Linked DNA regions of Caenorhabditis elegans. The protein of the gene in region 2 interacts with the protein of the main gene of each other region in a pairwise test. Each region holds a gene or a part of one and is shown on either strand. Other genes may lie near its edges. The genes, in order: Y39B6A.1, F41G3.10 and mlc-2.

Region 1 (8,903 bases), on a different chromosome or scaffold from region 2:
TGAAATTGCTTGTAAAGCCTCAAAAAATCGATAAATTGGAGATTTTTTTTTCAAAAATCGGAAACAATCCAAAATTTTGAAAATTTCAGTTTTTTGAATTTTCAAAAAACTTTTTTTTTTTTTGAATTTTTCAGATTTTCACTGAAAAATTCTACAAAAATTTTTTTTTTTTTTTTTTTTTTAATATTTGCAATTTTTCAATTTTCAGCCCCGATTCACGCCATTCGACGCGGTTCCACATCCGAAATTGCCTCCAATGGCCTACGCGAACAGTCTTTTCGGATTTAATTAGGCCGAGTTAGGCCTATTTTCAATTTTTTCCCCAATTTTTTTTTGTGATTTTTCTTCTCTTCTCTTTTTAAATTATCGATTTTTTCTTTTTTTTTTCTTCGTTTCCCCCCTCAAAAATCTTGTTTTGTTAGCCCAGCCCCTCCCACCCCCACCCCTACCTCCCCCAAACATTTTGGGTCTCGCCACGAAACGAAAATCTCTTCCACGCGGGACCCCTTTTTCCCATTCCCAGGGGGAATTTCCCACACACACACACACACTTTTTCTCTCCCCGACATCCCAGTTCTTATTATTATGATTATAGTTATTACACGAAAGATTTCAGACAAATATGAAATTTGCATGATTAACTTGTTTGGAAAAAAACACAACAAAAAAATTCGACCACGGCGGGGACTCGAACCCCGGAGGTGTGATTGGTAGTCGGCGAGAATTTTCTAGAAAAACCACCCAAAACTGGATAATGCGCTGCTAAGACTACAAACTACAAGATTTTGGGCGCTGCTAAGACTACAAACTACAAGATTGTGGGCGCTGCTAAGACTACAAACTACAAGTTTTGGGCGCTGCTAAGACTACAAACTACAAGTTTTGGGCGCTGCTAATTCAATTTTGGGCGCTGCTAAGACTACAAACTACAAGATTTTGGGCGCTGCTAAGACTACAAACTACAAGTTTTGGGCGCTGCTAATTCAATTTTGGGCGTTGCTAAGACTACAAACTACAAGATTGTGGGCGCTGCTAAGACTACAAACTACAAGATTGTGGGCGCTGCTAAGACTACAAACTACAAGTTTTGGGCGCTGCTAATTCAATTTTGGGCGCTGCTAAGACTACAAACTACAAGATTTTGGGCGCTGCTAAGACTACAAACTACAAGTTTTGGGCGCTGCTAATTCAATTTTGGGCGCTGCTAAGACTACAAACTACATGATTTTGGGCGCTGCTAAGACTACAAACTACAAGTTTTGGGCGCTGCTAATTCAATTTTGGGCGTTGCTAAGACTACAAACTACAAGATTGTGGGCGCTGCTAAGACTACAAACTACAAGATTGTGGGCGCTGCTAAGACTACAAACTACAAGTTTTGGGCGCTGCTAATTCAATTTTGGGCGCTGCTAAGACTACAAACTACAAGATTTTGGGCGCTGCTAAGACTACAAACTACAAGTTTTGGGCGCTGCTAATTCAATTTTGGGCGCTGCTAAGACTACAAACTACATGATTTTGGGCGCTGCTAATTCAATTTTGGGCGCTGCTAAGACTACAAACTACAAGTTTTGGGCGCTGCTAATTCAATTTTGGGCGCTGCTAAGACTACAAACTACGAGTTTTGGGCGCTGCTTAGACTACAAACTACAAGATTTAGGCGCTGCTTATTCAATTTTGGGCGCTGCTTAGACTACAAACTACAAGATTTTGGGCGCTGCTAAGACTACAAACTACATGATTTTGGGCGCTGCTTAGACTACAAACTACGAGTTTTGGGCGCTGCTTAGACTACAAACTACAAGATTTAGGCGCTGCTTATTCAATTTTGGGCGCTGCTTAGACTACAAACTACAAGATTTTGGGCGCTGCTAACACTACAAACTACAAGATTTTGGGCGCTGCTAATTCAATTTTGGGCGCTGCTTAGACTACAAACTACGAGTTTTGGGCGCTGCTAAGACTACAAACTACAAGTTTTGGGCGCTGCTTAGACTACAAACTACAAGATTTTGGGCGCTGCTAAACTACAAACTACAAGATTTTGGGCGCTGCTAACACTACAAACTACAAGATTTTGGGCGCTGCTAATTCAATTTTGGGCGCTGCTAATTCAATTTTGGGCGCTGCTAAACTACAAACTACAAGTTTTGGGCGCTGCTAATTCAATTTTGGGCGCTGCTAAGACTACAAACTACAAGTTTTGGGCGCTGCTATGCGATTTTTCGTATAAAAAACCTAGTTTTCGACTGTTTTTTCGGCAAAAAATTGGAAAAATGAAGAAAAAGTGAGTTTGGGCGCTGCTAAAACTACAAACTACAAGATTTGGGCGCTGCTATCGCAATTTTTCATGTTTTTTTTCTTCGTTTTTCTCCACTAAACACAATGAAATTAATTTATTCGACACGGAAAAATTGGTACAAAAAATTACAAATTCGCTAGAAAAATCGATACAAACAAAAAAAAAAGGCTGTTCAGGATTTATCCAAAAAGTACATGTAATGCAGTGACGCATCAATTGTGGCGAGCAGAAGCTCATCGACCGCCCGTCTAGTGGCTCTTCTTATGTGACTTCTTCGTGTGCTGCTTCTTTGAATGCTTCGAATGGTGTCCATGATGGTGGTGGTTCTCCTTGTCGTCATGGTGTCCGTGGTGGGCTCCGTGATGGGCTCCGTGCTCGTGGTGGGCTCCGTGGTGTCCGTGGTGAGCCGGGGAGTGATGGGCTCCGTGGTGGGTCCCATGACCTCCGTGATGTCCGTGATGTGCTAGGGAGTGGTGGGTTCCGTGGTGTCCGTGATGGACTCCGTGAGATCCGTGGTGATGATCTCCATGGTGTTCGTGATGCTCATGGTGTGGGGCGTGGTGGTGGTGGGCTCCGTGGTGTCCATGGTGAGCTCCGTAGCCTGCTCCATGATGTCCGTGATGAACTCCATGCTCCCCATGGTGTCCGTGGTGAGCCGGTGCGTGGTGACCATGCCCATGGGATTCGTGGTGTCCGTGATGAACTCCGTGAGATCCGTGGTGTCCGTGGTGTCCGTGATGAGCTGGAGCATGGTGGTGCTCCCCATGATGTCCGTGGTGAGCTGGGGAGTGATGGGATCCGTGGTGTCCGTGGTGGGTCCCATGTTCCCCGTGGTGTCCATGGTGTGCTGGAGCATGGTGGTGCTCTCCATGATGTCCGTGGTGGGTCCCATGTTCCCCGTGGTGTCCGTGGTGTGCTGGAGCATGGTGGTGCTCCCCATGATGTCCGTGGTGAGCTGGGGAGTGATGGGATCCGTGGTGTCCGTGGTGGGTCCCATGTTCCCCGTGGTGTCCATGGTGTGCTGGAGCATGGTGGTGCTCTCCATGATGTCCGTGATGAGCTGGAGCATGGTGGTGCTCCCCATGATGTCCGTGGTGGGCTGGGGAGTGATGTCCGTGTCCATGGGATTCGTGGTGTCCATGATGAGCTGGAGCATGGTGGTGCTCTCCATGGTGTCCGTGGTGGGTCCCATGTTCCCCGTGATGAGCTGGGGAGTGGTGGGTCCCATGGTGCTCTCCATGATGTCTGTGGTGGACTCCGTGCTCGTCGTGATGAGCTGCGTGCTCATGGTGCTCTCCTTCCTTGTGCTCGTGATGAGCTCCATCCTTGTGCTCGTGGTGCTCATGATGGGCTGGAGCGTGCTTCTTCTCGTCCTCAGATTCTGAGGAAGATGAGGAGCTGGAGCTGGAGCTGGAGGAAGAGCTAGAGCTAGAAGAGCTCGCGGCCTTCTTGTGATGCTTCTTTCCGTGGCTCTTCTTGTGATGCACCTTCTTCTTCTTCTTCTCGTCTTCAGATTCCGAGGAAGAAGACGATGAAGAAGAACTGGAAGAGGAAGAGGAGCTGCTGGAAGAGCTGGAGCTGGAAGCGGCCTTCTTGTGATGCTTCACGTGCTTCTTGGCGGCGTGCTTCTTGTGATGGTGCTTCTCATCCTCGGATGAGGAAGAGGAGCTGGAGGAGCTCGAGCTCGAGCTGCTGGACGAGCTAGACTCGGCCTTCTTGTGATGCTTCTTCACGGCATGCTTCTTGTGGTGATGCTTCTCGTCTTCGGACTCCGACGACGAAGAAGACGAGCTGGAGGAGCTGGAGCTAGAGGAGCTTGACGATGAGCTGCTGGAAGAGCTCTCAGCCTTCTTGTGATGCTTCTTCAGATGCTTCTTGGCATGCTTCTTATGGTGATGCTTCTCGTCTTCGGACTCAGATGAGGAGCTGGAAGAGGAGCTTGAGCTGGAGCTCGAGGAGCTGGATGAGCTGGAAGAGCTAGACTCGGCCTTCTTGTGATGCTTCTTAAGATGCTTCTTGGCGTGCTTCTTGTGGTGGTGCTTCTCGTCCTCGGATTCAGACGAAGAGGAAGAGGATGAGGATGAGCTGGAGGAGCTGGAGCTCGAGCTGCTGCTGGAGGAGGAGCTGGAGCTGCTCGAGTCCTGAGCCTTCACATGGTGATGGTGGTGGTGGACCTCGTGGTGGCCTGGATGGGCTCCGTGAGCATGATGGGTATGGTGACCGTGGTGTGGGGAGATGAAGCTCAGGAATCCTGAAATATTCCTGTTTATTAAGAGATTCCAAAGCTCCGGACCAACCTTTCAATGAGATGTGTCCATCATGAGCATGATGATCAAAGACCTTCTGGAAGTGGAGCTCCTTGGCCAGGTGCTCAATATCGTGGAGCGCCGAGCGAGCTTCATCCCGAGTGAGCTTATGCCCGTGCGAGGAGTGCTTCGAGAAGAGCTTCTCTGAAAATTATCATGATCTTTGACTACCGTAGGTGATACTAAGAAACTACAACTGATAACATGTCAGTTGTGTTGTGTTGGCAAACATTTCCGAAATTTTCTAATTTTTTCGGTAATTTCACTGATAAGAATGATCTTTGGCAGGAAGCGCCGAAAACTCACTGATCTTGTGAAGCGACACGTGGTGGGTGTGATGATGATGGTGCACCGTCATTGTTTAGGTTCTGGAATTTTCAGAATTTTCAGAATTTTACTCGAAATTCAAAGTTAAGAGGGATTTTAGAAGTAAAATCGAGAAAAAGCCCCGAAAATTTTGATAATCACCGTCCTCCTCCGCCCCATTTTATAAGCTTTTTTTAGGCTCCGCCTCCCTTAAGTTTGACTCCGCCCATTTTGACACGGGAGGCAATTAAAAGTTTTGATGATGTTTGGAGAAGTGAGAGATCGAGATAAGACACCCGGAGAAGGAGAAACGTGAAAATTTGGGACGATGATTGTCAGAGTGATGTAATATTTGGGGAGGTAATAGGAGAGGTGATGAAGTCTGACAGCTGTTGAGCATCAGCATTTGATTAATTTTCAAAATTTTCAAATTTTCAGCTGATTGTATTATAGTAGTTCACTGAAGGGTTTTGTGTGAGAAGTTGGAGGTTTTTGTGATTTTTCGGGTCTCGGTAGGTTCTAGCATACCGAAAAAGAGCCTGACCTTTGGACACTGACCTTTTCTGGAACGTTTAACTGCTTCCAATAAGCTTCAAGTGGCTCCGAGCAGCCTGATTGCTAAAATTTTCTAATTGTTTCAGTTAGATCATAGACATTTCTAGCGGCTTCCAACTAGTCCTAGACCCTTCCAAGTACTTCTAGAAGCTACCAGCCTGACCTAGGAGTTCAAAGCCTGGCCTAGGCGCCCAGCAAGCTTTCTGAAGGCTTCAATTTGCTTTTAGTAAGCCTTGTGATCGTCTAGCAGATCTAAAGTGCCTTCACGAGCTCTTAGTGATTCCGAAAAGCCCGACTGCTGAAATCTTCCAATTGCCTCCAACAGCTCATAAATGTCTCTAGAAGCTTCCAGCCTGACCTAGGAGTTCAAGCAAGCTTTCTAAAGGATTTAATTTGCTTCTACTGAGCCCTGTACTATTCTAATAGGCCTCAAGTCCTTTGTGAGTTCCCAGTGGCTCCTAGCAGATTTTAGCAGCTCCGACGAGCACGGCTTCTAGCAGCTCCCTATTGGTCCGATAAGCTTCTATGGGCCTCTAGAAGCTCCCAACTGGCTTTAGCTGCCCTCAAGAGCTCTGAGCAGCACTGGGTTGCTTCAAGGTGTTAGATTCCTGGTTTTCCAGATTTTAACCAAATTCAGCAGCTCTGATTGGGCTTTCGGAGCTTTCAGCACCCGCCGACCTTTCCCAACTGCCCCTAAAAACTCCAAACTGTGTTTTCTGAAGAGCCACACCCAAAACTGCTATTTTATGAGCCTGTGGCATTTCCAAAGATGATGGCAAACTTTTAATGGTGCTCTTAACACCTTTTTTTTGTTGGAAATTCGAAATACTAGTTTTCTAGTTTTCCAAATATCATGTGATCATTCAATCTTGCAATGGTGGTTATAATTCATTATTTGCACCAACAATTAATACTCCTTATCTCTATAATGTTCTTAATTTGCTGCAATTGAACTGGTTTTTGAAGTACCAACTACACTTTTTGAAGGTTTCCGGTGGAAAATTCAGGAGTTTGAGCAATTTTGTCAGAAATTTCCGTTTCCTGACAATCTTCTGGCTTCAAAATTCGAGTTTTTGACTTTTTCTCAAAAAAAACCGGGAAAATTAGGAGAAAAAGCTTCAAATCTGGATAGTTTTTCCGGAAAAACATCGAAAATCGATGTTTCCTCAATTTTCCTGAAACTTTGATATTTTTTGGGCCTTTGACTTGAAATTTCAAGCATTTCACAGCATACTGTCGTGGAATTCATACAGGCAGCCTAATTTTTAAGATCCTTGACTTTTTTCCAGTTCCTGTACATTTTCAGCATTCGGGAGCAATTTCCGCCCCACGTTCCGAAACCAAAAACCGCAAAACTATTCGAAAAATGTGCCATCAGCAGGTTTTTCTCTCTCCATAATTGATTATCGGTCATTCTGCCGCTGCCACTCGTTTTTCCTCTTCCTTATCAAATTTTGATGTAGTTTTACGATTGCTCCGAGAATATAGAGTGGCCCCACGTGACAAAGTTTCCGGGAACGGTTACCCGAATCGTGGCAACGAGAAGAAAAAGACGTGAATAAATCAAAAACTGCATCTGGTGGTTGAGGTTTTATTGCTTTTCGCTGACAAATTAATGAGAATTGCATTTTAATGAGAATTCCGCGTGCAAAAATGTCTGCATTTGCGCGTGACGGTGTTTGCACAAATTACACCGATTGGTCGAGCTGAATACGCGATTTCGACTGAAAATTCCGGTTTAGAACGGGATTTTCAGACAATTCTCACGGAAAATTGCCCAAATTCCTGGGATTTTTTTTTAAAATCAGTAGAAAGTTCAGAAAAGCACGGGAAAATCAATTTCTATGCCAAAAGTTGTACTCTTTCGAGAGAAACACGGCGAATATCATTTTAAAAAGGAGATTTTTGGCAATTCTCACTGGAAATTTGCCGGAAGGCTCTGAATTTCACAAAACATCAAGACGAATGCTCGAAAATCGGCTGCAGAACCGATTTCTAGTAGTTTTGTTGATTTTTTCCATTGAAAAACGGGAAAAATGTGTGTTTTCGAGAAATTCCTTGGAAATTCCATTGTAAACCGGTATTTTCGGAGAATTTTCAGAGAAATTGCCCCGAGGAGCTCTGAATTTCTTCAAAAACCTCGGAAATCCCATTTATACCGGAAAACTCTCACGATTCTTAGAGAAATTGCCTGAAGGCTCTGAATTTCTCAAAAAATTGAACGGAATTCTGAAAAATCGGCTCCAGAACCGATTTCTAGTAGTTTATTTCTAGTATAACTATATATAAATCTGTTTTTTTTTGCGAGAAAAACCGAATTTTTCTTTAAATTCTTCGAGAAGTTGGCACAAGGGTCCCGGAAAATCCATTTTAGTCCGGAAACTTGCCGGAGGTTTCTGAATTTCTACAAAAATCAATAGTACGCGTTGAAAAGTGGACAAAAAGTCGATTTCTACCAAGAAATGTTAGTTTTTCCCACTTTTTCGAAGTAAAAAGTCAATTTGACAACCAAAATAGCTCTGAAACTAAACTTTAACCCAAAACACATAGAAGTTGTAAAAAATTGTGGAAAAAGTTGGGAAAAACCACACTTTCATTGCAATTGAGGGTATTATGAGTCACTATTTGCACGGCAAAGTGACGAATTTCTGACTTGTTGGTTTTTATAGTGTTATCTGACGTTTGGCATGAATTTGAGTAATTCTGAACACGAATCATAGAAATTTCATTTAAAATCTAATGAAAAATCCAAAAAACTGCAGATCTTCACAACAGATGGGATATTTTTCCAAAAAACGCGAATTTTTAAGCCAAGACCAAGAAAATCCCGAAATTTCCAGCAGTTTAAAGATCTAAAACAGAACTTTACAATAACAACTCAACAAGTTGCCGATCTTTTGACATTTACCATAAAAAGTTGATCGCAATATTTTAATGGGCCTGCTCTTCCACGCCACGCTGCCATAATTTTTTTTTCCAATGATCTCCTCCTCTGCCATTCGGGACGAAGGGTGTGATAAGGAGTTTTGACAATCGACGGCTACGTGTCTGTGATAACAGAAAGGAAACAAACAACTTTCATGATCTACGATGCAACTTTGATCGACGGGGAGCAGGTTTTCCGGGAATCCAATTTTTTTTAGCAAAATGTCTGAATTAATGTGAAATAGGTAGCGAGTAATAATAATAGTATACTGCAAAAATTTCAAGCCAATCGGACCACTTTGAACCAAGTTATGACGTTTTGAAATTTATGGGGCAGCCGCGACGCGACCGCAGCGCACGCCGAAAGTTTTAAACAGTCATAACTTGGCTCAAACTTATCGCAGAGCTCTAAAATTTTTGTCAAGTATTTGAATTAGTCAACTGAACGTTAGGATTCACTGAAGTGTGGCTGCGTTGCGGTCGCGTCGCGGCTATCATGCTAACTTCAA
Region 2 (7,269 bases):
ATCTTGGTTGAAAAAAAAATTATCAAAAGTTCATAAATAGAGGAATATTCTATGCGTAACAGGTTTGGACTGAACTCGGGGTATTATCTATAGAAGAAAAAGCTGAGCTCGAGGGAAGATGGTATTAAAGCGGAAACACAGAATTAACTACCATAAAAAGCCTCTGTTCAAAATTTAAATCACGATCCTATACGTAAAAATTATGAACATTTCAAAAATATTTTGTTAAGTGTGCGTGAAAAGTTCTACCACAGACAACGTAAGATAAATAATCATGTTTATTTTCCGTCTCGTAATTATTTCTATTCATTTTGTGTATTTATCACCGTTGAAACATGGGAACGGTTTGTAAAGGTAACATCAAACTTTTCCAATTGTCAATGCCACGCACGAATCTTTAGAAAATAGTGAGAATCAAGTCTCTGAAGGCGTTGAATTGGATAAAGGATATCGGCTTCTAGACTATAAAGTCGTACGGTTTATCGCCAAAGGAGCATTTGGAGCTGTCTATCAGGTATTACATAATATTTTTTCGGGGTTTTATTATTATTATTATTATACGCGCATTAGAAAATTTATATATTGTTTGCAAAGTGCTTGTGCACTTTTTCTGTCTTCTCACCCTCAATCTATTTTTTGACGTCACCATGGTGCTCACAACGACACGGAGCAACAAGCAGTGCTCTCCTTGATGTGCAGTTCTAAACATATATTATATTTATCTATTCATGATAACTAGAAGACTTCAAATTTCCAGATACAGAAGTGTTCGTGAAAATAAATATGTGTTTTTTTTATGATCACTAGCTCTTCTGTAGCTGAAAAAACTTGAAAATAATATTTTAATCGAATTAGTTGGATGATTCAGCTAATTTTTTAAAGTTTCTGCTTGAATGTTACGTTATGATTTTTTGTGAAATTGGAATGAACATTTGCATGATTTAATATAAATATAGGGCACACATTGAACAAATTAAATTTATATCACTTTTGAATTGGATGTTGAAATTCCTTGAAGTTTAATTTAAGAATGATACATCTTTTTCATTCAATAAGTTAGCAAAAATTGAAAAGCTTCCCACAGAAATTAATTGTAGTTTCCATTTCAGGTCGATCACATAAATACTCTACCATTTGCTCTGAAACTTGAAAGCCGAAGCTCTGAAACTAGAAATTTGAAAATGGAAGCTGTTGTTCTCAGGTATCAGGTTCTATGAATATTTCTCAATACAACCAAAAGCTAATTTCAGAAGCCTTCTCCCAATTCGTTCACCTTATTTCTGTCGTGTCTTCTTTTGCGGGAAAGCGGAAAAATTCAATTTCCTTATTATGACTCTTGTCGGAAAGAATTTGAGCGAGCTTCGTGCCAACTGCCCGAATCGAAAGTTTTCACGTCGAACTGGTCTTCAAATTGGAATTCAAATGATCAATGCCATCCAACAACTTCATTCCATTGGGTACAAAACATTTATTATCATTAATGTGTTTTAACTCAATAATTCAGATTCATTCATCGTGACATAAAACCTGCCAACTTTTGCATAAATCTCGACAATCCACATCAACTTGTGATGGTCGATTTTGGAATGTGCCGGAAATATTTGAATGATGGAGGAACTCAACTGAGACATCCAAGATGGTCTGTTCATGGTTTTAGGGGAACTGTTCGATATGCACCACTGGCTACTCATTATGGAAGAGATTCTTGTCGTAAAGAGGATTTGGAAACAATCTTTTATGTTTTGGTTGAACTTTTAGTTGGAACATTGCCTTGGATGACTATGGAAGAACATATTCATGTTGAGCATTCTAAGCAAGTTGCAAGAACTACGGGTGAGAAAACAGCTTTACAAACTGATAAAGTATACAATATTTTCTCAGGATTGCGTGAATTCCTCTCTGGATGCCCAAAACAACTTGTTCATATTCTCCTTTACATTGACAATCTTCGCTTCTACGATGCACCTGACTATGCACTTATTCGTGGATTGCTCAGGTAAAATCAAAATTAAAATAGTGCTGTAAAATAAAGACGCCTTCAGTTTTGCCCTGGAAAATTGTCAACACAATGGATCATTCGAGTGGGAAGAAGAAATGAAAATGGAAAGAAAAAAGGACGAAGATATGAGATCGAAAGACGAATCTGAAATTGAGGATGGATGACGCCGGATCTAGAAATTAATAAAAGTTCTTGAATTCTTCAAAATTATTTATTGAGACTACGTGTTTTAGCTTTTGAGCTTGACTACGTCGTTCGCAGTAATTTTTTTAGCCAGAAGTACAATATCCACAGGTTCTTGGACATTGTTGTCTCATCAAAGTGGCATATGCTGAGTTGTTGCAATAAGAACGCATAGCTGTACAATCGCTTGTTCCTGTATTTGGGTTGACCAAGTCAGCACAAGTTGTACTAGTACGAGTAGTAGTGACTACTCCTGATCCAGAGCCTAAACATTTAGATATCATATTGAAAATGTTGATTTTAGCCTACAGTATCCGCAGGTTCTTGGACATTGTTGTCTCATTAAGGTGATATAAGCCGAATTATTACAATAAGAAGCCATTCTTGTGCAGTCACTGACTCCTGTGGTTGGGTTTGTCAAATCGACACAAGTAGTTGAGGTTCTGGTTGTGGTAGCAGTTCCAGTACCTGAAATTGGAATTTTGTAGTGAGTGAGAGAAGAGGGGATATCTGCTTACAATATCCACAAGTTCTTGGGCACTGTTGTCTCATTAGGGTGAGATAGAAGCTGTTGAAACAGTATGATGCCATTCTAGTACAGTCGCTGGTTCCTGTGCTTGGATTGGTCAAATCAACACATGTTCCTGAAGTCACTGAAGTTCTGGTGGTTGTGACAGCAGCTGCTGCTGTAGATGTTGTGGTGATTGCTGAAATAATTTGGTTCATGAAACCGGCGATATCTGAAATTCTCACTGAAAACGTCTCCATCAGGGCAACAACCACTTCCAGCAATGAGTGTGGTTCCTGGTGGGCAAGCTCCATTAAGATCCGGCATTGGTACGGAGTTGCATCCTAGTTGTTGAACCGAAATCCCGATAGAAGCAGCAACAATCAGAAGTTGGAACAGCATTATTACTCTGGAAATGTTACATATAATAGAAAGAGGGAACAATAGCAAAAATAGAGTACTCTGGAAATGTGTCTAACTGTGAACGAGTGGGCTTTTAAACCATTTTCGAGCAAATATCACACATAGCTATGACTGGTATTTGAATAGTTTTCGAATTAAAGCAACTGTATCAATAAATCGCATGATTTCGTGGGAGTTTCATTCGCGAAATGGGGCAAAGTTTAGTGGACTTAGGATTTTGGAAATTGAAAAAAAAAACATAATGTTTGAACGATAAAATGAATAATATTTTATTAGAGTTGCAAACTATTACAACATGTGACATCGACATTGTTAAAAAACATGTAAGATTAGGTGCAATATCCACAGGTCTTTGGGCATTGGGTTTTCATCAAGGACAAATAAACAGAATTGGTACAATAGGAAGCCATGCTCGCACAGTTGCTAACTCCGATTGAAGAATTTACGAGGTCAGCGCAGGTAGACGAAGATGAAGACGAAGAGGACGAAGATGTACCTTTAAAATGTACATCATATCATATTAACGATAAATATTAACTTGTCGAAAACTACTTACAATATCCACAGGTTTTTGGACATTGTTGCTTCATAAGTGTCAAATATGCAGAGTTGGTACAGTATGAAGCCATACCTGGGCAGTCACTGACCCCTGTCGAAGCATTTGTTAAATCGATACAAGTGGATGAAGATGACGTAGTGGTGGCAGACGATGATGTGCCTGAAAAAATATATAACTTCGCAAAGAGCTTCAGTTAGCCTTTTTCTTTGCTTTTGAAATTGATGTTGTTAAACTTAAATTGCTAAACTTATAAGTACAAGTGGCAGCTAAATGAAAATATACGGCAAACTTACGAGCCGACTTTTCGAGAACCCTTACCTTAGAGTTAGGCAAAAGTATTTTTGCTGAAAGTGTTCAAACATGACTTCTTCCAGCCAAACAGCCACATATAAATTTCTAATTGTGGTGAAAAGTTTACCGAAAAATAAAAGGCGCCTCTCCAAAACTCGATGTCCAATTCGATTTATGTTTCAGCATAAAATGTTTCTTAAGAAAGTAAATTTCAAAACTTACAGTATCCGCAAGTTTTCGGGCATTGTTGCTTCATGAGTGTCAAGTATGCAGAGTTGGCACAATAAGAAGCCATTCCAGGGCAATCACTAACTCCCGTACTAGGATTAGTCAAATCAACACAAGTTGTAGCAGTAGTAGCAGTTGTTGTTGCAACCGTGGTTGTTGCCGCGGCAGTTGTAGTGATTGCTGAAAATTATGGAACTACGATTATTTGAAAACTAATTTTCAATAAAGTTACTGTATAAATCAGCATCTGGACAACATCCACTATCGGTGATATATGTGAAGTCATCTGGACAAGCCCCATTCAAGTCTGGCTGAGGATCCGAGGTGCATCCGTAACTCTGTTGAGACGAGAAGCCGATAAATGAAGAGAAACAAACGAATAAAATGAGAGAAAACATTTAAAATAATTGCTGTTAATCCCACCCTGGATAGATCCTTTTTAAAGGAATATCTGACAAATATTGAAAACTTTTTATTCTCCAACGATTATTTATTTGAGCAGAAGCATTGGGGACAGGAAGTGTTAGGAAACAAAGTTCCGCATCATTTTAAAGCAGAAATCCACTGTTTCAATAATCAAGAACAAATCTAATTAAAGTCATATACCTGGTACTATTTATAGATCATAGATCTTAATTTGAGATTTTATAATAATTGCACTTCATGATTACGGCCAAAATTGTGCCAGGGTTTGCCGGTTCCTGTAGTTTATTCATACAAACATTATCCAGCTTCAACTGGCATTTCTTATGTTTTCCTCAGATTCTTTAGAGTCCCTATTATTTTTTTTAACTAACTTCAAGGAAGTGATGAATTCATTTGGACAAATCAGAGAGACAAATCCGAGAGACAGAGGCAATCAGAGAGATCACGTCATATGAAAACTTATCACAGATCAGTTACATGTTCGGGTTGTTGATTTTTCAAACATTCTTTCAAAATGAAAATAGTATTTACCTAAACGTGTCACACCGAAAACCTTTTTTTATATAGCAATGAAAAACAAATTGATATGTGCATTATTTATTATCAGTCCCCATTATTAACTTCCAGTATTAAATTTATTACAATTTCAACGAGCCACATGAAATTCTATGAATCATGAATTCAACCGGAAGTGCAGTATCCACAAGTCTTTGGACATTGTTGCTTCATGAGTGTCAAGTATATGGAATTGGTACAGTAAGAAGCCATTCTAGTACAATCACTGACTCCAGTGCTAGCATTTGTCAAATCAACACAAGTTGATGATGATGAAGTTGTGGAAGATGTGGACGATGAGGATGTACCTTTAAAGTTGATGACATTGCAAATCTTCCAAAAGTATAATAAACTTACAGTATCCACAGGTTTTGGGGCACTGAGTTTTCATAAGAGTCAAGTATACCGAATTCGTACAGTAAGAAGCCATCTTTGGACAATCACTGACACCATTCGATGGATTAGTCAAATCAACACAACCCCATGATACGGTGCACAGAGCCGCCATAATAAAAAGTACAGTTGTTTGCATCTTGAACTCGGATGTTCGGGAAGTATACTTAGGCCTCTGACAGAACTGAATAAAGTTGGTATCTTTTTCTTCAAATCCTTTCATATATAATGAGGGCCCAACAGACACTATTGTTTGAACAGAAGCATCATTCCAAAGACTTCAAACTTCCGCAACATTTGTACATGTTCATTCAGCGTAGCGTATACTACAGTTACGCTTCAGCATGTTCTCATAAGACAATAAAAATTTGCAAAACTTTATTTTTTCTTTAAATTACCGACCTTGAAAGTATAAATAGATACATAATACATTAACTTGGAAAATAAAACACAAATTACAAATTATCCAGATGTGCAGAATCCACATGTTCTTGGACATTGCGTTCTCATGAGTGGTATGTAAACCGAGTTTGTACAGTAAGACGCCAGTCTAGTACAGTCACTGGTTCCAGTTCTTGGATTAGTGAGATCTACACAAGTTGAAGACGAGGAAGTTGTTGAAGAAACAGATGTAGCTGTGGAAGATGAGGAGTTGCCTGATATAAGATCACATTAAAGGTGCAATTGTATTTTGTTTGTCACAAGATTGAGGATTCTGTTGCCTGCTCCTACTTGGTCAAAACAACTTACAATATCCACAAGTTCTTGGGCATTGTTGTCTCATCAGAGACAGGTACACCGAATTTGTGCAGTAAGAAGCGAGTCTAGCACAGTCACTGGTTCCAGTTCTTGGATTCGTTAAATCGACGCATCCCCAAGAATAAGAGCACAAAACAGCAAGGACAACTAAAGTTATTTGTTGCATTTTTCAAGTAGTTAGTAAGCTCGAAACAATCTGATTTGTTACAATTGCAAAATTTCATTTTTATATCGCACCTTCAATTGCCTTCACTATTTGCACAGCAAGCCCTTTTTGTCTCCAATGGTTGTGAGTCAAACTTCTAGATTTTTTATTCAAATAAAACAAGTAGTTAACTGTTTGCAAATTGGACAAAGAGTATAAAGGATCATACATTATTATCGGAAATCACTAGCTGAAATTGAAATGACTGAGCTCTTCTTCTGAAGATTTTTCGAAGCAATACAAGCTGGCTGAATGTCATTATTGCACAGAAGCATGATTAATCTGAAAAGAAAACATATATTTTATTAGAACACAGATTTTGTTACTGAATTACCCATCGAACAGAGCCAAGAATGCCATAGAAGGAAGCGCAACAAGAATGTCTCCGAATGATCCAGAATGAAGAGATGAGATCAAGAAGACATCTATGATATAGAGCAATGATTGAGCCATACACTGGAAATTATTAAGTTTTATTCTGTCTGTAAATCTTGTTGATTTTTTTTGTGTTTATATTTTTTAGCTCCTGATTTATTTCAATGTTGCTCGAATTTTTCCAGTATATAGTTGATTTTATCTATAAAGTTGATTACTGTTTTGCCACGTCATTGTTTTAGTTCATTGCCCTTATTCTTCCCACTTTCAATTTGCTCACCTGAATAAACATTTTTGCGTTTCTTTGTTTTCTACGTGGTGCATTACGGCATGAGAAGCTTACAGATTTCTGAAAAATAAACATG
Region 3 (7,260 bases), on a different chromosome or scaffold from region 2:
AGACTTCAAAGCCAGATTTCAATTTGTTACGCCACAAAATTTTTTCTTCGGTGGTGAGTATTAATGTCGTTAAACAGAAAAATTAATCATATGAGACTGATGCCAAATTTCCCAAAAAAAAAACTGTCAAAAGGTAGAACTACTGTAAAGGTTGAAAACAAGTTCATAAGGAAAATGTTAATATGGTTGAGAGACAATCTCAATTAGTTACTTGGTAAATAACATCAGTGTACTCGAGAACATTTTTAATAGAAAATTCAAATTTATATAACCGTTAGTGAACACATAAAACCGAGAAACCGTACTCCCTCTGTTAGTTTTGTAAATATTAATAAAGTCGTCATTGTTTGGGTAGATATAATTTTAAAGTGCTCACAGTCCATTTTTTTTTCTCCAATTTCAAAGGAAGGCATTTATATAGACCATAACGACCAAATTAATAGACCATAGATAGATTATTATAAATATATGATATCAAAATATGTTAACGCATAAATGCGCCTCCATTTAAAATTTTAGATATGAAACAAAAACTAATGCACTGTAAAAAAATAGCCGATGAACTATTGCAAAAGTATATATTCTTTGTAGTTTTTTTTTGTATTAAATTAGGTTTTTGTCAAAGATTGATCGTTTTTCTAAAATTATCAAACATTCTAAAAATTGTCTTGCAATATCTATTATTGTTGTAACCCAACAATGATACCCAACACTACTGACCAAGTGAAAGTTAGTCTTGCATGCAAGACTATTAGAGGAAATACGTTAATTGATACCGGAATATCGGAATGTTGCTTGAATAAATAGATAATTTTTAAATTGCCAAGTTGCTCAAAGACCGGAAAGAGCCAGTGCCGATTTTGTCAAAACATTCAAAAACAAACGAAGAAAACTTATTTTTTTTCTTTTTTGAACATTTATAAACAATGCCGGATTTTCAGCAACTTTCTAAAATTTTGAACAGTTTGCAGAGATATGAGATTCTGAAAATGAGTAATTTCAAACATTTTCTCTACTGGCTCTTTTCTTCCTTTCTCGTTAATTTTTGGAGTAGAAGTATTTAATAATTAGAGCTTTAAAGGTGGACTACACCCTGTGGGGAAATCGCTTCAAAACATGCCTATGGTACCACAATGGCCGAATATCATGATAAAAAAATTTAAAAAAATTTCCCTGATTTTATATGATTTTTTGAAAATTGAAAAAATGTCAGTTTTCCCCTAATTTCTATTTGAATTTCCGCCAATTGAACTCGTTCGTTGGAGCACGATTGCATTATTTTCATTATCTTTTTTTATTAATTTTCATTATTTCACTGATTTTCTTCATTTTTGGGGTTTTTTAATCGGAAAATGAAAGAAATATACAAGAAAAATGCAAATAGTTCATGAAAAAATCACTGAAATTGCCTAAAACTGTAAAATATACTAATTTCAGGCTCGTTGTCGTCGTATCACATAATTTCAGAGTTTTAGGCAATTTCAGTGATTTTTTCATGAACTATTTGCATTTTTCTTGTATATTTCTTTTATTTTCCGATTAAAAAACCACAAAAATGAAGAAAATCAGTGAAATATAGAAAATAAATTTAAAATAAACCTTAAAACGTAAATATAAACTCAGGTTCAAAACGGCTTGTACAAATCAGCAAAGATAATTTTTTTGAAACTAATCGAATTTCTTCAAAGACTTAAATATTATTCAGCTACTTCAGAAACCTCATAATTTTAATGTTTCCACATTTTCAGAATCAATCTGGGTTATCATTCGAGTGCGGCCACTTACTGAAGCAGAAGCCGCGATGGAAGTCTCCGCGCAACCAATGGATCCATTCCATCGGCAACTCGCTGTGATGTCATTTGTGGAAGGACCAAGTAGCAGTGGGACACATCCATCTCCAGTGCCTGATCCACCTCAAGAGGACATGATGGAATGATTCGAGACCTTGTAAATTCTATTGTTATTATTGTGATGATCATCAATTATTTACCGTGGGATATCTTAATCAAATGTAAATTTCAATGCAGTTATTGAATCAAAAGTAATCTTCTAACTATTTTACTTTTAAAATTCAACGTAGCTCGGGTTATCAGACATCTGGTAACTCTGTAATGAACCTTATTGAAACATATTTTCTCATTAAGATTTGTTCCAATTGTGATAGACACCCAGTACAGATTTGTTGCCTTTTCCACCTCTCGCATTTCTTTTTCAAACTATTCATCACTTTTTTCCCCAATACCTATTAGCCTTTTTATAAAATAACATTAGAAGTCATTGGTATCAACTAATTTTATCACCACCATTTATTGCACTAATCCATTGAAAGATTATAATTGGAGAAATAAATGAGAAAGTATTATTTGAAAGAATGTAAGATTTGTGTGCAATTGCCGGATGTTTAGGCGCTGGCGAGCTCGTCTTGGGCTCCGGTGGTGATGAGGTGAGCGAATGCCTTGTAGTCAACCTCTCCTCCCTCGATTGGTGGCTTTCCCTGAAAGAAGAGGAATTGGTAAGTTTCAATGATTTCAGAAAGAATGAATTTACCTTGTACATAGCCTTGACCTCATCCTCGTCTAATGGCTCTCCTCTCTTGTTTTGAAGGATCTTGATAAGGTCGTCCTCCTTGATCTTTCCGCAGTCCTTCTTATCGAACATAGCAAAAGCTCCAACAATGGTGGCCTCTGGGTCAGTTCCTGAAATTATTGCAATAATGAATTGAATTCCATTAGAAAATCTGAAAAGCCTACCTGTCAATCTCTCCCCGAAAAGGGTGAGGAAGACGGTGAAGTTGATTGGTCCGGATGCCTCCTTGATCATGGCGTCGATCTGGCTGTCTGGGGCGATTTGTCCCATGGATGCGTAGAGATCCTTGAGGTCAGACTAAAAATTGTTCATTAGTATCATTTTAAAACTTAAAAAAAGCTAACCTTGTCGATGATTCCGTCCTTGTTCTGATCCATGATTCCGAAGGCCTCCTTGAACTCCTGGATGGTCTTCTGGTCGAATTGGGCGGCCTCGGATCCCGAGCGCTTCTTTGAGGACTTCTTCTTGGCGGCCTTGGACATGTTGGAAAAGGTTCTCTACCTGAAACTCAGTTATTTGTTTACAGGTAGCACACAAAATTGTCGAAACAATGATAGAAGTAAATTGCTTGGGAAACGAACAAATTAAAATTAAAAATGCACCCATGAAAAGTATGAAGAAGAAGCCTTTTCCAAGTCCCGATCTTGTCGAGAGCATTGAGATAATAATGGTTGGTTGGTAGGCGTATGGGAAGGAGGAGTAGCTGGATGGGAGGAATGTGATACGAAAAGAGACCGAGAGGAGGTGCTCTCTCCACGGCGGGCAAAGTTAGTAGGCAATTGGTGGAGGGTGGCAGATTCCCGGGATGCCGTTTGAGATAGAGTGTAACACAGCGGGCAGCGATCAGTTTTGCCAGCAGAGATAATGTGTCCCAAGCAGAAGCTCGACACAAAGAGCGCTAGAAAGAGCAGTGCCCGTGATCCGTGCGCCGTGTCTGTGCTCTCTTTGGGGATCTCAGACTTTCTGATCACCCTCACACGGCCGGGAAGATATACGCAATATCTGTTTGTGAAGAAACGACAAACGCAAATATCTACAGAGTTGCGGCAACGCATGGGGGAGAGAATTTTTGGAAAAGCCAACTGTTTGGCTTCGAATATTTTCTCAAGTACATCTCTCTCAAAAGCAGGTAAAAGTTAAGGTGGTAGGCTTTTTGCTGCGCGCAGAAAAGCGAGGGTGGAGAGCAGGGAATCTAGGGATTTTTGGGAGATGAATGATCAGAGTTGCACTGAGGGTGGCCCATTAACACAAAATAGGAATTAGAAAGAATATAACTTTGAATGTTGAATGAAAACATGTAACATCGAATATTGTTTCTAATGGCTGAAGACAAATTAACAAGTTCGTAAAAAGAGAACAATTGAAAGGAATGTTTATAAGTGGTTTTTATTGTTTTTCTAGCAAGAACTTTTCCGAAGATAAAAAATTGAATGTTCAGATTGTTTTGTATCTCATGAGCCCAGTAGAAATCTTTACTACTTCATAAGTATGGAAATCAAAATAAAACATTACAAAACATAAATTTTTCGAAAAATTGAAATTATGTTCAACAAAAATGCCAAGCGACTGGAAAATTGTATCCAATGTTTCTTTGCCAACTTTAAAATTGTATATTTTGTTTCTAGTAGTTGTGCTTGCTGATTATCAAAAAATTGAAGAAGACATTGTTCAACAATTGATTTTTAGAGGCGACAGCTAATCTGAACTTGTGATTCTAACGTGTTGTAACAAATTTTCAAAGCGCGTTTTCCAGACCATCATCGTACTTTTCAAAACATTAATGGTTTACTGTTTGAAGTTTTCAGAGGAAACATTTGATTTACACAAATTGTTGTAATTGGAATTAGAACTATTGTTTATGCTTCAATTTCGTTAAAGCAATTTTTTCACAATTTTGTTTGATGTATATTGGAAAAAAAAATTCAATTATTCATTTTACAAACGGAAATTGTGGAGTGATAATAATAATAACTTTTACGAACATTTGTAATACGCTCATAATAAACATTAAATGATTTTTTCAAATTTACAAACAAACCAAAAAATTAACTCTTTTCGAAGTAAAACGTTTCAAAAATAAGTTAACAAACAGGAAGCAAAATTAAAAGCGTTTCTGCCAGCTGACGCATTATCTTAAAAGCTGTTTTCAGATAAGAGCACTGGTAGACAGAACACTCAATAGAAAATCAGATGAAAAAGTTTGAAAGTTGAGGAATCAAAAAAGTTATCCTTGTTAATTTAGGATATGAGTAAGAACCTCTTGTCACACTAATTCTGATGGAAGGTTTTTTTTTCTGAATCGTTTCTGAATTGTCTCCAATGAGAGTATAGTTCGAAACACAATTTTTGTCTGTTATTCAATGACATCAAAATTATTGATTTCAAAAATAGCTGCAAATCCTAAAATCAAAAATCACTGCGTATGTCAAAACTTTGAAGATTGTGTGAAAATCAATATTTGCTCTGTTTCATCCTATCTTAAAATACGCCCGATTAATTATTTCATTTTAACAAAACTTGAAAAAAAACTATACAAATAGATTTCACAAGTAGTTGAAACAATTAGTAGGAAAATTATAATTTATACCAGAAAAATATATGTCAAAAAAAATTATCGTTAGTGAAATATTATAAACAGATATTACTGGAACCATCTGATAAATTCAGTATGTCCCATTTAGTCATGTTATGAAAATTAAAATTTATAATCAAGTTCCAAAACAAAAGAGTTTCAGATTTTCAAGTTTTCAATTATCCTGTTTGTTGGAAATGTTGAATTTAAACCTTCCTTTCCAACTCAAAACAAATTCTGATTATGTTGTGCCCTGCTCAGATTTAAAGCTCGGATGATCTATTCCCTTTCCCTTATTGCATCCCCTCATTTATCCGATCGAGCAACTTTTTCGATGGCGGGTAAGAGGCATCGCGACGCAAGCAAGGCGAGAGTTTTGCCCATCTTCTTGGAAACCTCCGACGGGTGCCTGATGTTAGCACCACGGGGGCGGTGCGCCTCTTGTGTAAAGTTGTTGAGATTTGCTCAAACAGCCCTCCCCTCGACGCGGGGCCCAACGAGTGTAAAAGGCAGACAAAAGCGACGGATAATCTTCAGTTAGTCTCAGTTCACTACTCAGTACAGTCCACAAAATGGTGAGTTGGATTTTTTAATAAGTTATTTGAAAAGCATGAGTTTCTGTATAGGAATAGGAGTGCGTTCATATATATTTTGATTTAACCTGTCTATATTGTATTTAAAAAATTATTTATTTTGAATCAGAGGTTCTATAATCAGTTTCATCTTTAAAAAATTTCTGGTAAATTAAGAACGTAACATTTAGATTTAGGCTTTGTTTAAAAATCAAGCAATTAAATCGACTATAAAATTGTCAATATGTTCTCAATTTTCCAGTCCAAGGCCGCCAAGAAGAAGTCCTCAAAGAAGCGCTCGGGATCCGAGGCCGCCCAATTCGACCAGAAGACCATCCAGGAATTCAAGGAGGCTTTCGGAATCATGGATCAGAACAAGGACGGAATAATTGACAAGGTTAGAATTTTTCTTATTTTTTTAATGGTTCTAATCAACAATTTTTAGTCTGACCTCAAGGATCTCTACGCTTCCATGGGACAAATCGCCCCAGACAGCCAGATCGACGCCATGATTAAAGAGGCTTCCGGACCAATCAACTTCACCGTCTTCCTCACCCTTTTCGGAGAGAGATTGACAGGTAGGCTAATTAAATTTGATAAGTTAATGGTGATTTGAATCTATTTAATTTCAGGAACTGACCCAGAGGCCACCATTATTGGAGCCTTTGCCATGTTCGACAAGAAGGACTGCGGAAAGATCAAGGAGGACGACCTTATCAAGATCCTTCAAAACAAGAGAGGAGAGCCATTGGACGAGGATGAGGTCAAGGCTATGTACAAGGTAAATTCATTCTTTCTGAAATTTTTGAAACTTCCCAACTCCTCATTTTTTAGGGAAAGCCACCAATCGAGGGAGGAGAGGTCGACTACAAGGCCTTCGCTCACCTCATTACCACCGGAGCCCAAGACGAGCTCGCCAGCGCCTGAACATCTCCAGCCCACAAGCAATTGCAACCACTTTGGGAGTGGCGTCAACGTTATTCTAGAATCCATTACGGTGTCTCATTTGAAGACCTTTCCACGTGCTCCTATGATACATCGCCGTGTATTCAAGACTCATTGTTGTCATTCCGTGTGGCGCAGCGTTCAGACGGCGCTCTAACCCATTCCGCGCGCATTTTTCTATTTTCGCCGCTCTTTACCCTTAGTTTTATAGCCGAGATCATTATAATCACCTGGAAATGTGTGGTTGCCGGTTGGTTTGACCAACTTCTTCCACCAGTGGGAAGAATAACGTCATTTCGAAGCCATCTGGCAACCCCAATTTCCTAACCACGCCGTCTGACTGCGCGTACACACTTCTATCACTCCAAATGGTTTTTCCTTCTTTTTTCTCGCTCGCAAATTCTATTGTCATTTCATTACATGTTTTGTCATTTTTTTTTTGTGTTCACCCACTTTCATTACTTTGGTATTCCAAAACATTTGCAAACTTCTTCTAGATTTTCTCTGAGCAGTTACTTGTGGTGCATATACATTCTCCCATATCGGGACTAGTCAAAGCTCTACGATGTACTTTCAATATGTAAA

The links.
Region 1: the proteins of F41G3.10 (region 2) and Y39B6A.1 interact in a two-hybrid assay, tested with the Caenorhabditis elegans proteins (one large-scale study listed by BioGRID).
Region 3: the proteins of F41G3.10 (region 2) and mlc-2 interact in a two-hybrid assay, tested with the Caenorhabditis elegans proteins (one large-scale study listed by BioGRID).

The regions. Positions count from the first base shown.
Region 1 is NC_003283.11:19,198,632-19,207,534, forward strand, and holds Y39B6A.1 (Histidine-rich glycoprotein-like), read right to left. Parts: upstream 4,977-8,903; 5' UTR 4,967-4,976; coding exon 4,915-4,966; intron 4,753-4,914; coding exon 4,600-4,752; intron 4,554-4,599; coding exon 2,551-4,553; 3' UTR 2,382-2,550; downstream 1-2,381. Other genes in the region: pph-5 (Serine/threonine-protein phosphatase 5), read left to right, coding at 209-292.
Region 2 is NC_003280.10:6,746,424-6,753,692, forward strand, and holds F41G3.10 (ShKT domain-containing protein), read right to left. Parts: upstream 3,100-7,269; 5' UTR 3,093-3,099; coding exon 2,936-3,092; intron 2,890-2,935; coding exon 2,701-2,889; intron 2,651-2,700; coding exon 2,492-2,650; intron 2,448-2,491; coding exon 2,269-2,447; 3' UTR 2,197-2,268; downstream 1-2,196. Other genes in the region: F41G3.5 (non-specific serine/threonine protein kinase), read left to right, coding at 336-354, 402-514, 1,110-1,201, 1,251-1,457, 1,505-1,833, 1,882-1,996, 2,043-2,163; F41G3.20 (ShKT domain-containing protein), read right to left, coding at 3,443-3,609, 3,670-3,831, 4,186-4,371, 4,424-4,589; F41G3.19 (ShKT domain-containing protein), read right to left, coding at 5,299-5,480, 5,530-5,704; F41G3.21 (ShKT domain-containing protein), read right to left, coding at 6,028-6,221, 6,316-6,490; srx-95 (7TM GPCR serpentine receptor class x (Srx) domain-containing protein), read right to left, coding at 6,703-6,811, 6,864-6,985, 7,185-7,253.
Region 3 is NC_003284.9:17,453,500-17,460,759, forward strand, and holds mlc-2 (Myosin regulatory light chain 2), read right to left. Parts: upstream 3,088-7,260; 5' UTR 3,069-3,087; coding exon 2,931-3,068; intron 2,884-2,930; coding exon 2,751-2,883; intron 2,697-2,750; coding exon 2,548-2,696; intron 2,495-2,547; coding exon 2,402-2,494; 3' UTR 2,293-2,401; downstream 1-2,292. Other genes in the region: C36E6.2 (Nbr1 FW domain-containing protein), read left to right, coding at 1-53, 1,749-1,936; mlc-1 (Myosin regulatory light chain 1), read left to right, coding at 5,731-5,733, 5,993-6,127, 6,176-6,308, 6,363-6,511, 6,565-6,657.